2 linked regions of the Caenorhabditis elegans genome follow. The protein of the gene in region 1 purifies or fractionates together with the protein of each later gene. This does not show direct contact. Each region holds a gene or a part of one and is shown on either strand. Other genes may lie near its edges. The genes, in order: syf-1 and prp-3.

What was found.
Region 2: the proteins of syf-1 (region 1) and prp-3 fractionate together in Caenorhabditis elegans (co-fractionation; one large-scale study listed by BioGRID). This does not show direct contact.

Annotation. Positions count from the first base shown.
Region 1 is NC_003279.8:3,875,367-3,881,539, reverse strand, and holds syf-1 (Pre-mRNA-splicing factor SYF1), read right to left. Parts: upstream 4,478-6,173; 5' UTR 4,475-4,477; coding exon 4,409-4,474; intron 4,362-4,408; coding exon 4,242-4,361; intron 4,197-4,241; coding exon 3,540-4,196; intron 3,493-3,539; coding exon 3,320-3,492; intron 2,932-3,319; coding exon 2,156-2,931; intron 2,102-2,155; coding exon 1,992-2,101; intron 1,522-1,991; coding exon 856-1,521; 3' UTR 797-855; downstream 1-796. Other genes in the region: T03F1.12 (Protein SYS1 homolog), read left to right, coding at 4,837-4,992, 5,038-5,210, 5,258-5,375; uba-5 (Ubiquitin-like modifier-activating enzyme 5), read right to left, coding at 5,813-6,173.
Region 2 is NC_003281.10:10,423,446-10,429,701, forward strand, and holds prp-3 (U4/U6 small nuclear ribonucleoprotein Prp3), read right to left. Parts: upstream 4,538-6,256; coding exon 4,478-4,537; intron 4,309-4,477; coding exon 3,371-4,308; intron 2,524-3,370; coding exon 2,074-2,523; intron 1,628-2,073; coding exon 1,384-1,627; intron 950-1,383; coding exon 776-949; 3' UTR 668-775; downstream 1-667. Other genes in the region: M03C11.6 (BBS2_C domain-containing protein), read right to left, coding at 394-546; smrd-1 (SWI/SNF-related matrix-associated actin-dependent regulator of chromatin subfamily A containing DEAD/H box 1 homolog), read right to left, coding at 5,380-5,618.

The sequences.
Region 1 (6,173 bases):
ATCTTTTCGCCACATTTTCTCTCACCTGTTGCGGCATATTTTCGCGCCAGAAAGTAGGCATTAGGGGTGGGCATTCTTGATTGATTGATTTCTTGAATTTCTTGATTTCTTGACAGTTTGTCAAGAATTCTTGTTTCTTGATTTCTTGATAAATTGTGTCAAGAAATCAAGAAATTTTTAACTCGAAATTTAGGCTGAAAAGTGGGTTTTTCAATTTTCCGAGAAATTATTTTATTATTTTTGCCATTTTCAGAATATAATAACTCAAAAAACACCATAAAACACAATTTCAGTTGGAAGAGCGAGGTTTGCAGAAAGGAATTCAAAAAGATTGAAAACGTTAACGTTCTTGTCGAAAAATTATTATTTTTGCACTTTTTGTCCATTTTCAAAGTTTCTTTTGTTCATATTCTTTAAAAAATAGGTTAAGACTGATAAATTTAACTATTTCTTTCAATTTCGCTTAAAAATAATATCCGTAGAAAATTTCTTGATTTCTTGACTTTTAAAATCAAGAATTCTTGACTGATTGATTTCTTGACTTTGTAAAAGTTTGCCCACCCTTGGTAGGCATTCTCATGAACTGATGGTATCGTAATACCTTCGAAGAATGAGAAAATACTAACGTTTTTTTGAAAAATTCTTAGTGATTAATCATGATTTCAGACAATTTTTATATTTCCTAAAAAAATTAAAAACACAATTTTTAAAAAAAGTATTACACACAGTGTTAGACAACACAACAACCAAGGAAAACATCACAAAAAAATTGGAAAATTGGAAAATTTGTAACATAAAATAAATAATTTATTTTTCAAGATCCTGAACAACAAATAAAATAAAAAATAATGAAAATCAAGCTTCTTCCTCCTCTTCGGCGAGCTTCAAATTTCCAAAAATCTGAGCTGGAACAACTTTGACTGAAATATCAGCATCTCCACCATCATCTTCCTCATCATCGTCGTCTTCATCCAAATCAATTTCATCAGGATTCTCTGTAGTATTCTGTTGTACCGTTTTACCGGCTCCACGTACAAATGAAATATTTCCTTTGTTCATTGAGACCTGAGTAATTGATCCTGCTCCATCCGAAGGTTGCTGCTGTTGCTGATCCAATGAATCCATCGGATTCGACGAAGTCGTAGTCTCCTGTGCCTTTCGTTCAGCATCCACACGCATTTGTACAGATGTCAGTGTGACATTCACGTTGTATGACGCTTCGACTGATCTACGAACACGAAGCATGTCACGAACAGTTGCCTCGTTTCCATGAGCAACTTCAAAGTTTTTCCACGTATCCCAGAACTTTACATGAACTTTTGGATCGGAAATCTCGGCGGCGTGCGCGTAGATCGCTCGGGCTCGGTCAATCTCTCCGACCGTCGTCTCGAGCTGAGCATACCGCAAGCTCATTGCTCGAGACTTATCCTCTGGCAATTCGGAAATCGCTCGTTCAAAGATGGGCCGGCACTGCGCGATTCCATACATTTCCTGGACCTTTTTGATGTAGATATTGTACATCTAAAATGACAATTTTGAAGAATTTGCGGGTTTTATCGGGTTTTATCGTGATTTTTCGTTTGAAAAATTGAATTTCGCGAAATTTTGTTGTTTTGAAGTGTTTTTAACTATAATTTTTGCGTCGTTTTGTTCAATTAAATCCAATTTTTGTCAATTTTCAGCAAGAATTTACAACATTTGGTCTCAGGAAGCTATAGATATATTAAAAATAAAACATTTATATTCCAAAAATTTTTGCGTCTTTAGCAGGAATATTGGATTTTCGTATAGTTTTTTTCGAATAAAAAGCTACACTATGCGCAATTTCGACTGAAAATTTCGAATTTTGTGCCTTTTTCTTTGCAGAAAGCTATGATTTTCCTATTTCCAGGTATTTTTGAGCTCTAAAGCGCTGAAAATTCAGGATTTTTTAATTTAAAATTGAGCTTTCAACATTTTTCAATATTTTACAAAAAAAAAATTGTGCTTACCGAGTGCATATCGGCACGGTCAACTCCTGAGCAGGCTCTGTTGTATATGGAAAGAGCATGCCTGGCGAGTCCGTGCTCTTCTTCCAGTTTGGCATAGAGTAAGAAAATATCTAAAATAAATTTGGTATTGTTTGATTTATTTCAACTTTTTCAAAAGTTCTTACATTTCGCATGGGTTGGTGGGCAGTTTTCCAGACATTGCTCAAACAAATCACGTGCTCTTTCCAGCTTCTTTCCACCGTATCTTTTAATGAATTTGACCAAATATGTATTCCAAATATCAAAAACTCCGGGCCACTTGAACAGAGCAATTCCCTTCTCGTAGGCTTGGAATGCCAGCTCGAAATACTCATTCTCCTCCAAAAACATTGCGTAATTCATAATCATCTGTGGAGAAGCTACACGAAGCTCGATCATCTTATCATAAACTTTCCGACAAGACTCAACAGTTCCACAACATTCCTCATAATCCGCGTACATTGCCCATAGAATCGGACTTCTGTGAACTCTTGCTTGAACTGATTGCATATTCTCGTAATCTCCTGGCTTCGGAACAACACATGCTCGTTGCATAACTGTCAGTGCAGCTTTTGCTCTTTTATGCTTCATTTCCATTTCGGCATACGCACACCACACATTTGCAAGTTCACTGACACCTCCGAATTGTGAGATCACAGCGGTCTCGAACGTCTTACGAGCAGCATCCAAGTCACCATTATCCTCATACAACTTGGCAAGACCGATCCAGAGATCACGAACTTTTCCGACTTGAATTTTGGGATTTACAGATTTTACGGCTTCCTTGAATGTCTCAATTTGCTTGTTGTAATTTCCTTCGTAGATATTCACTCGGTTGAGCCATTCTCCAACATTATGTGGATTCTGCCGGAGAAGTACACTGTTCATTAGTTCATTCTTTCTTTCCATCAAATGTTGATATCTGGAATTTCAAGAGGGTTTTACAAATTTATAGTTAAACGATTTGAAGGTAAAGGTAAAGGTAAAGGCTTTACAAAGAGATTTTGCAAAAATTGCTCAACACATTTTTTTCAAAAAGGGCTTCTTATCGGTGCTAAATTTCGAAAAAAAGGCCAATTTTAGCTAAAATCTCCAATTTTTTCCAACTTTTCCGTGCCCGGTCATTGATTTTTTTTAAATTTTAATATACCTTAGCGTTAGATAAACTGCACAAATAAAATAAAAAATACGAATAATCTGACATTAATCAAGTAAATGTCATGTTACGACCGCTGCGACACGGAAAAGTTGGCGAAATTGGTGATTATAGCTGAACTTAGGTCATTTTTTTGAATTTTTGACATACAAACCTCTGGAACATCCACTCAAGATCAACTTCTTCTTCCGGATCACCACTTTGTTCCACTTCTTGCATCATAATCGACACTTCTCGTTCTTCAAAAGCTGCATAAGCATCATAAACTTGAGCGAAATCTCGTACAGTTGACACTTTAGCAATAGCCTCCTCATACACGTCTCGAGCCTGAAATCAAATTTGTGCTCAGAAAAAAAACACTTTTTCAAATTTACTCTTTCGAACTCTGCGCTACGAATGTAATAGTCGGCTAGTGAGCACCACAAAAATCCAACTTGATCCGTGTACCGATAGATTCCTTGACGAATAATTGCGTCGACGTTCAGCGAGAAGATCTTTACTGGATTCTTTGAGATCAAATCACACAGCTGAGTCCACAGTTGATGTGCAGTTCTTCCTTTTTCCGAAACATTCTGATCTTGATTTACTAGAGTTGTCAATTCTTTTGCTGCCTCGTCGATTTGATCTCTTTCAATAAGATACTCAACGTAATCCTCACGAGCTTTCGGATTCATCTTCAAATATCTTCTGTAGACACGAATTGTAGTTTCTGGCAGATCGTGACTTGTCAGAAAGCCGATATACAATGTCCAGATACGCATGTGCTGGGTGACTGGAAGAGAACGGAGAGCTCGATCGAAAACTCGTCTGGTCTCTGTGATGAGGCCTCTTTTGATCATCACTTCGCAGTAACAAATCCAAATACGTGGCATCTTGTGTAATCTCATGAGACATCTCTCATAAGTGTCACAGAGTGCTCTCCAGGAGTTGTCTGTTGGGCATTTGTTGACAATTGTGCTTTCTCTGTATTTCAGATAATGATACCAAAGTTTGTAGCTTCTTTCGAAAACTGCAAGTGCACGTTCGTAGATCTGAAATTAAAAAATGTTTTTTGAAGAAAATTAAATGAAAATTACCAAAAACATCTGCTTGGCAGGAGATTTGTTCTGCAATTTGTGATCGATATATCTCTGCCAACAATTTACTGACGTGGGATTTCTAATGATATCCTCTTCAAACGGAACATCTTCGGAAGACTGAAAATTGCATTATTGTTTCCTGTTCTGATTGTTTCTTCACTTACGATCCCTTTCATCGTCTCAGAGTTCGGCATTTTTTCAATTTTTGTTGCATTTTCTTTGTCGGCCATTATCTGGAAAGATAAAAATATAACAAATTAAAAGTAATCCGAGCTTTAAATATTAAAAAGAATATGAATAAAATTTAATTTTCGAAAAATGCGGGAGATTTTTGATCGTCGGTTCTGGTGTATGCAGACCGAAAGAGTACGCAATTGTGGACCGTAGTCTGGTGTGGAAATACGCGTTGGCTTTTCAGGAAAAAAGATTTTATCGAAAAAAAACGTTGTGATTTCACATGTGAATTGTTTTTGTTCAATTTTAATTATTAATCTTAATTATTGAAATTTTGTAATCATGTACTTCGAATGTGTTTTTCTACAAAACATTGATAAATTCTCGGTTTCCCTGTGCAAGTATCCGAATTTTCAGAATGTCGTCGTTTCGGCAGTTTGTCTGGGATCCAGTGCTCCTCGTCAGTCAAATGACGTGTCTTCAGACATTTTTCTACGCTACTCAAACTTCAGTAATGCTGTTCTGCAGCTTTTTCGGCTACGAACCTCTCATTTCCTCTATTTTCTCAATACAGGTTTGGATTTTCCCAGTCTATTTAATTTTAAAATTATTATTTCAGACACAACGATCAATGGCATTAATTCAATTAGTTTCCGCCGTCGGAGTCTCATTCGCACTGTCGCATTTAGTGCAACGTGCGAAACAATGCCTGGATTTTGCCTGTACAGTGCACTTTTTCCATTTAATATTTACCACTATTTACAACCATGCTCTTCCAACCCAATTTACATGGTTAGGATTTAATTATAAAACTTTTGAAATTCAAATTCCTTTTTAAGGTGGATTCTTCAAGTAATATCGACAACAGTTTGCACGGTTCTTGGAGAATATCTGTGCATGCGAATCGAATCGCAGGAAATAAAATTGGAAGGTGGTCCTTCTCGCTACGATCTTTAATATAATCAGAGAAGCATATTTAAATTATTCAGCTCATTTTGCGGGTGTTTGATTCGATTATTAAATAGACAGTTCCTGTAAATTATCAATTAATTCGGTGTAAATAAACTGATGTTTCTTCTTCTTTCTTCTCTTGTAAATTAGGAGCATGAGAAAGTCAGAAGAAAGTAAATAATAAAGATTTTATGAATAAAATAGAAAACAGGGAGTTCAATCACAGATGATGTGTAATATGCAATACAAGGGGATAGTGAGCGAAGGGGGGACAGAATACAGGAAAAATAGAAGCTAAAAACCCAAAATTGGCTCCTAAAAAAAAGAAGGGGATTGACAATAAATTATTTAGCGAGTGTGATGGAAGGCGAGAGACTAGCTTATAAAAGCAATTTTAATATTGACAAGAATATGGGAAAAATCTATATTTTGATTTTTGGCAATTATTTTCCTTTGTTCTGGGCTTCCTCGACGAGTTTATCCTTGATCGATTTCATAAAATCATGGGTTGCAGCTTGAGCCGGCGACAATTCAGTCTGGGCATCTCTCTTGATTGGTTCATAAGCAAACTTGAGCCCGGTTCCAGCATTCAAGCTTGAAGATTGTTCTGCAGATGGCTCCGACTCATTTACCAGCTCGATTCCCCATTCATTGTCCTCATGAACGACGGTTTCTTCTTCTGGAACTTCCACTTCAAGATCCACAGGTTGATTGGCAACCTTCTCTTCGTATTCTTTTTGTCTTTGCAGACAGTGAGAGTCGTCGCAGTATGGGTTCGGCTTGATGCTGTCACGAGGGAAAAAG
Region 2 (6,256 bases), on another chromosome or scaffold:
TGTTTTTTTTAATTGAATAAATATTACAAAGTCGTGAAAACCGACCACGTCCATTTTAAAGGCGCAGGCCATTTCTTCTGCTATATTGGGTCTCGCCACGATCTACACCAATTTATATTTACCACACGTGCCGAGACCCAGCTTTGGCGAAAAAAAATTAGTTGGTGTTTTCTTCCGGACGTGTAATAATAACCTTTTTTCGTAGAAAATTCTCAACAACTAGATTTTTTGGATATGTTTTTTTAAAATTTTAACCAATAAAGGGCATGGCTTCAGGCTAATTTTTGGCGGGGAATTTAAATTTCTCAGAAAACATTTTGGCGGGAATTTATCAATTTTTGAATCTTTTTGAATCTCCGTTAATTTTCAAATAAAAATCCTCATGTTCCGTACTTCTTTGATATATTGCCGTCGTTTTCTGCAATTTTCCATCTGCTTGGGATCTGTGACCACCCGTAGTGACTCCTCTAAAATCGCCCGTTTTGCCTTGATTTGCGCCTCCATCACTCGAATCGCCTCCTCAATTTTCTCGTCGACTTCTTCCATATTTTGCGGGGGTTTCTAAACAGAGAAATCTGTGGGAAATAAATATAAAAATTACGGGAAAATATGCAAAATGGGTCTAAATTACAACAAAAAGTGTTAAAATTCTAAAAAAATCTTTTTAAAATAAAATAATGTTCATTTACAGTCCCTTGGCTCAGGGCTCTCCGGGCTCCAATAACAAAAAAAAAATATTTAGAAAAACGAATTAAAATTTTCCAGAGATGTGTATTTAAGCAGTCGGTAGAATGTCTTGTCCCTCCAAAAGAACGGTGGTACTGTAACAGAGATCCCAGTATTGTGCAACTCCGTGCTTTTCGAAAAACTCGCGAGCCTGCTTCTCAAGTGTAGCCGTGTGAACGGTGAAATCACGGAAATTTCGACGCTTCACTTGTCCTTCCCAGATCTGGAAAATTTTTAATTTTTTTAACTTTCAAAATATTTTTGAAAAAAGATTTTCAGCTAAAATCTACTTTAAAAAATTGTTTTCGAAATTTCATTTTTTTTAATTTTTAATTTTGAAAATTCCACAATTTTCATAAATTTCGCGATTTTTCTACTTGGTTTTCGGTGAAAAAAAATTTATTAAAAAAAGGATTTTCTAAAGAAATTTCCAGCTAAACAAACTTCCTAAATTGAAATTTTAATTTTTTCAACTCAATTTTCAGTTTTTTTATTTGATTTGTTTTCAAAATTCTATAAAATGTATACTTTTTTAAGTTTTAATATTAAAAATTTCATGAAAAATTTCCACAAAATTTATTCAAAAATCCTGTAAAAATTTAGAATAATTTTCCTATTTTCTACAAGTTAAATCAAAAATTTCCTAATTTTTTTTACCATTTCACATAGATTTCTTTCTCCGGGAGCATCTTTTTCAGCGTCTTTCTTTTGTCCAATAATCTCATCAGACCACTTGATTCGATTAATCATCAGATTTTTATAGAATTTCTGTTGTTTTGGACCACCTTCCACAACAATCACATTTTGAGCTTTATGCATCATAATTGCTCCACTCATTTGTAATTGTTTCGCATTTGTCTCCACTTTGAACTTTTTCGACGGATGGGCCAGTGATTTTACTCTGCAAAAAAAATTAAATTTTTGCTTTACAGACGTTTTTTTTTGGATTTTTTTGGCATAAAATTCTATAAAAATTGTGAAAAAAAATGAAATAATTTTTTTTCCAATTTCTAGACTTTTTCATTTTCATCACATAATTTAGGAAAAAAACGAATTTCCTCAAAATTCGAATTTTCGATTTTTTAAAAATCCTTTTAAATATTAATTTCGAGTTTTCAATTTAATATTTCAAAATGTTTTTAAATATTAATCAGTAATTGTAAAATAGTTTAAGTAAAATAAAATAGTATTTGAAAAAAAGTTTTAAAAACTCCAAAATTTCCAATTTTTGAAGAAACTAAAAAATAAATTGTTTAATATTTTTGGAGAGAAATTAAAATTTTCTATGAAATTTTAATGCGGGAATTTCAAATTTTTCGTGAAAAAAATTGTTCGACGTAAAATTACCTATAAACCGAAACATTAACCGCCGTCGACGTATCCTCAGACAGTTTTTTCGTCTTTTTCGCGCGTTTCTGATCTTCGGTAAGCTTTCTCTCAGCATTCAATGTCTCATGTTTCTTCAATCTTTCAGCCATTTGTTTCCGAACTTGTGCTTCCATTTTCGTCGGATCCTGGATTGCTTCATTTCCAAGAACTCTCATTAAATTACTAATTTTGACTTTTGGCTCCGGAGCCTTTTCCAGTCCCAAACGAATCTTCTCTGTCTTCTCTTTCAGTACTTCCTTACGATTTTGACGACGAATCTTCTTTTTTTCTTTTGTTGTCAAGTATACTTTCAGATATTGTTGAGTTAATGGCTCAGTGGGTGCTCTCATTGAAATCGGGTGCTCTACGAGTTCGGAAACTGTCTGTGAGTATCTTTCCATGTCGTTTTCCGCAGGGATTTCGTCGTAGCTGCAAAAAATTTTATTTTTGAGGTTTTCTAAGTTAAAAATTGTTAATAAACTCTTGAAATAAATTAATTTTCTTTTTTTTTTTTGGTAAAAAAACGTCCAGAAAGGCGGCCAATTTTTGGAAATTATTTATTCAAAAATTGGAAAAAAAAAATCCAGTAAAAATTGAGTATTTTTCGCCACTTTTAACGAAAAAGCAAGAAAAAAATGGTAAAAATATAACTTGAAATTTGAAATTTCGAAAAAAAATTTTTATTTGTAGCTGCAGCTATAAAAAAACTTTTTGTGAAAAAAAATTTCAAGTTCAATTTTTACCTTTTTTTTGTTTTTTCGCTAATTTTGTAATTAAAATTTGCGCTTTTTGGCAAAAAAAAAAACTAAATTTTTGACACGAATTTTGTTCGCTATAAATTTCAAAAAACCCAAATTTTGGGGCTAATCTTCACAATTTCTTGCTCTGAACCAAGCTCTGAAGCAAAATATTTAAAATTTAATTATTTATATAAATTTACGCCGGGGTCGGCAAACCGGCAAACTGGCAAAATCGACAAACCGGCAATTGCCGTTCGACCAATTTTTTTTGTCGACAAATTCGAATCGGCAAATTGCGAGTTTACCGATTTGCCGGAAATTTTCAATTCCGGCAATTTGGCGATTTGCCGGAAATTTCAATTCCGGCAAATTGACAATTTGCCCATTTACCGGAATTTTTAAATTCCGACAATTTGCCGGAAAAATCGATTGCCGTTGACCCCTGCTTTACGTTCAATTTTTAAATAAAAGTAGCCTATTTTTTCCAATTTTTCGTTCCAAACCATCCCAAAAATCAAAAAAAAAAAAGTACTCACTTAACCTTATCCAACACCAACATATCCCACCACTCAATATCCGGTACCCCATTCTCCATTTTCGCCGTGCCCGTTGGTGTAACCATCGCAAGTTTCACAGCCGATGAGATTCCCGTCGATTGTGCAGCCGATGAGACCTCATTCTGAAGCCTTTCGAGCTTTGCCATTGCTCTTTGCTTATTCGCAAGTTTCTCGAATTCTCCCTTCTCATGGAAATTGAACCCCCGGCGACGTCGATCTGCAGTTCTCGCCTGAATCCGTGGATCCAGATACTCGATGAGTTTCTCCGGTTCTTTTGATTCTTTTGTGATCTGTTGTTGAACCTTCTTCTCTGCTTGCTGAACAGCTTCTGGCAATGGAGCCATCACTCCGGCTCCCGAATTTCCAACCATCGCATCAATCTTTGCCATTACTGTAGTTCTTGCGAGCCTCGCTTTCAACTCTTCCATTCGACTTTTCTTATCCATTGAATGTGTCATAAGCATTGTAGCTTCATCTCTTCCAAGCGATAAAGATTTTCCACCGGGAGCCACCATTTGTGTCTTTGCCTGAGCCAATGCGGCTTTTGGTTGAAGTGTTCCAGCTGCAATTGCCATTTTTCTCTTCGTCTCCTCAATCTCCTGCTGAGCCTTGTACATCATTTCCTTTGCTCGGAGTCGTTCTTCAATACTTTGCTCTGCAGGCTTTTGAGGTTCTGCTACTGCTGCTGGAACTGAAGCATCCGGCTTTCTCCGATCATCCGTCCGATCTCGTTTCCGATCACGATCCTCTCCGTCTCGATCTGTGCGAGTTCGTTTCCGTAGCTGTGGATAATGATCGCAAACGGCGGAGATCACTTTTCGCGCCTTTTGTGGGTCGGAGATTGCTTCTTGAACTCGATCCTTGAGCTTTTCGTAGTCATATCCTTTCTTCAGACATCTTTCGACTGCTTCGATTACCTGGAAATTTAAAATTATAGGATTTTTTTAGGTTTCGCCACGGAAATTTGAAATTTTTAGGTTCATAAAAAATTTTTAATTGAGCAAAAAACTCTCAGTAATAATTTGCCGGGAAATTCAAATGTTCAAATTCGGAATTCGATCAAAAATTTATTTCAAGATTACCAACCTTGTCCTGTTCCTTTTTTCTGCTCAAATACTGGTCGCAAATGTCCTCGAGCTTTCCCATCTGCAAAAATTTGATTTTTTTTTCAATGTAGAAGAGTGAAAATGGGAATTTTTAACTGGAAAAATACTTTTTCAATTAAAAATCACTAAAAATGTTAGTTTTTGAGCAAAAGAACAAAAAAAAATCAACATCTTCAATTTTGAAAAAATAAATACTAGTTTTCAGTTTTTAACCTGGAAATATGAGTTTTTAAACGAAAAAATAAAAAAAATACAGCTAACAATTTGATTTTTCCAGGAAAAATTGAAATTTTTCGGCTGAATTTTTAAAAATTAATATTAAAGCAAAAAATAGATAAAAATTGCGACAAAACGCATAAAATAAATAAAAATTGAAAAGTGCGAAAAAAATCACCATATTCATTGAATACACCAAAAAAGAAGCAATTTCCGTCTGAATAAGTTAAAAAATAAAATAAAAATTTTAAAATTAAGGTGCCAATAATTTTTCACAAAAAAAAACGGAATATGCAATACTGGACAGAAAACAATTGTTTTACAAAGAATATTTTGGGATAAAAATGATGAGATTTTTTTTGAAATGTAGGAATTACAGAAAAAAATATATATGGATGAAAATAAATATATAAAAATTGAAATTTTGAAAAAAGAAACAATTGAGAACCAACGTTTAAAGTGTTTTGCAGATGGGATGATGGATGGAGATCACTAGTAATTGAAATTTGGAAAAAAAAGTAAAATTAATGAAAATGGGGGTCAAAAACCTGGAAAAATTGGCTGAAAATCGATAAAATCTGACTAAATCCGATTTTGTCCCCGCTTTTCCGTGAATTTATGAGGATTTTGACCATTTTTGGGTGAAAATGAACGGGAAAAAAGTGATTAAGCAGATGTAGAAGGTTGAGATTCTTCCTCTTTTTGCTGCTCTTTTTCGACAGGCTCTTTCACAGCTTCATCTTCTTTTTTAGCTGCTTCTTCAGCATCAATTCCATTTTTCGAATCTCCAGAATCATCTTCCACGTCATCATATCGTCCACTGATCGCCGATGAAAGAAGTTTACTTAGATCACGGCCACCGCATTGTTCACCGCCTTCTTCTTCTTTCAGCTCACGGAGGGCGTCTGGAAAATTTTTATGTTATTTTTGATAAATTTTTGTTTAAAAAAATCGCATTTTTGACCGAAAAATCTCAAAATTTCAGCATTTTTTATGAATGGGAATTGAATTTTCTGGCAAAAAACGAAAATTTGCAATTATTTTAGTTTCAATAATTTAAAAAAAAAACGTAATTTTCAATGACAGAAATTTCAAAAATTTGAATTTAATCACATTTTTTTCCTGTAAAAAAATCAGAGTTCTTTGATTTTTTTTTTTGAATTTCTGGAATATTTGGACTTTTGAAAAGGTCGAATTTTCGAAATTTTCGGTAAATTTCGATTTCTTCTAACAAAAACTTAAAGTTTTCAATGAAATGTACTAAAATTTAAATTTTTTTGCTTTTTACGTAAAAATCGAGCATTTTTCGGGAAAAAATGTTGATTTTACCATTTTTGAAGAATTTTCTGACAGAAATTCAAAATTTTCACTGTAAAGTTTATCATAGATTATATAAACTTAAAAATTTGAACTTTCTACACGAAAAAAATGTTTGAAATTCTTAATTTTTAGGACAGTTTCTGAGAAATGGGGCATTTATCTGAAAAACGTTGCATTTTACAATATTTGAACAATTTTTTGACACAAATTTCGAATTTTCACT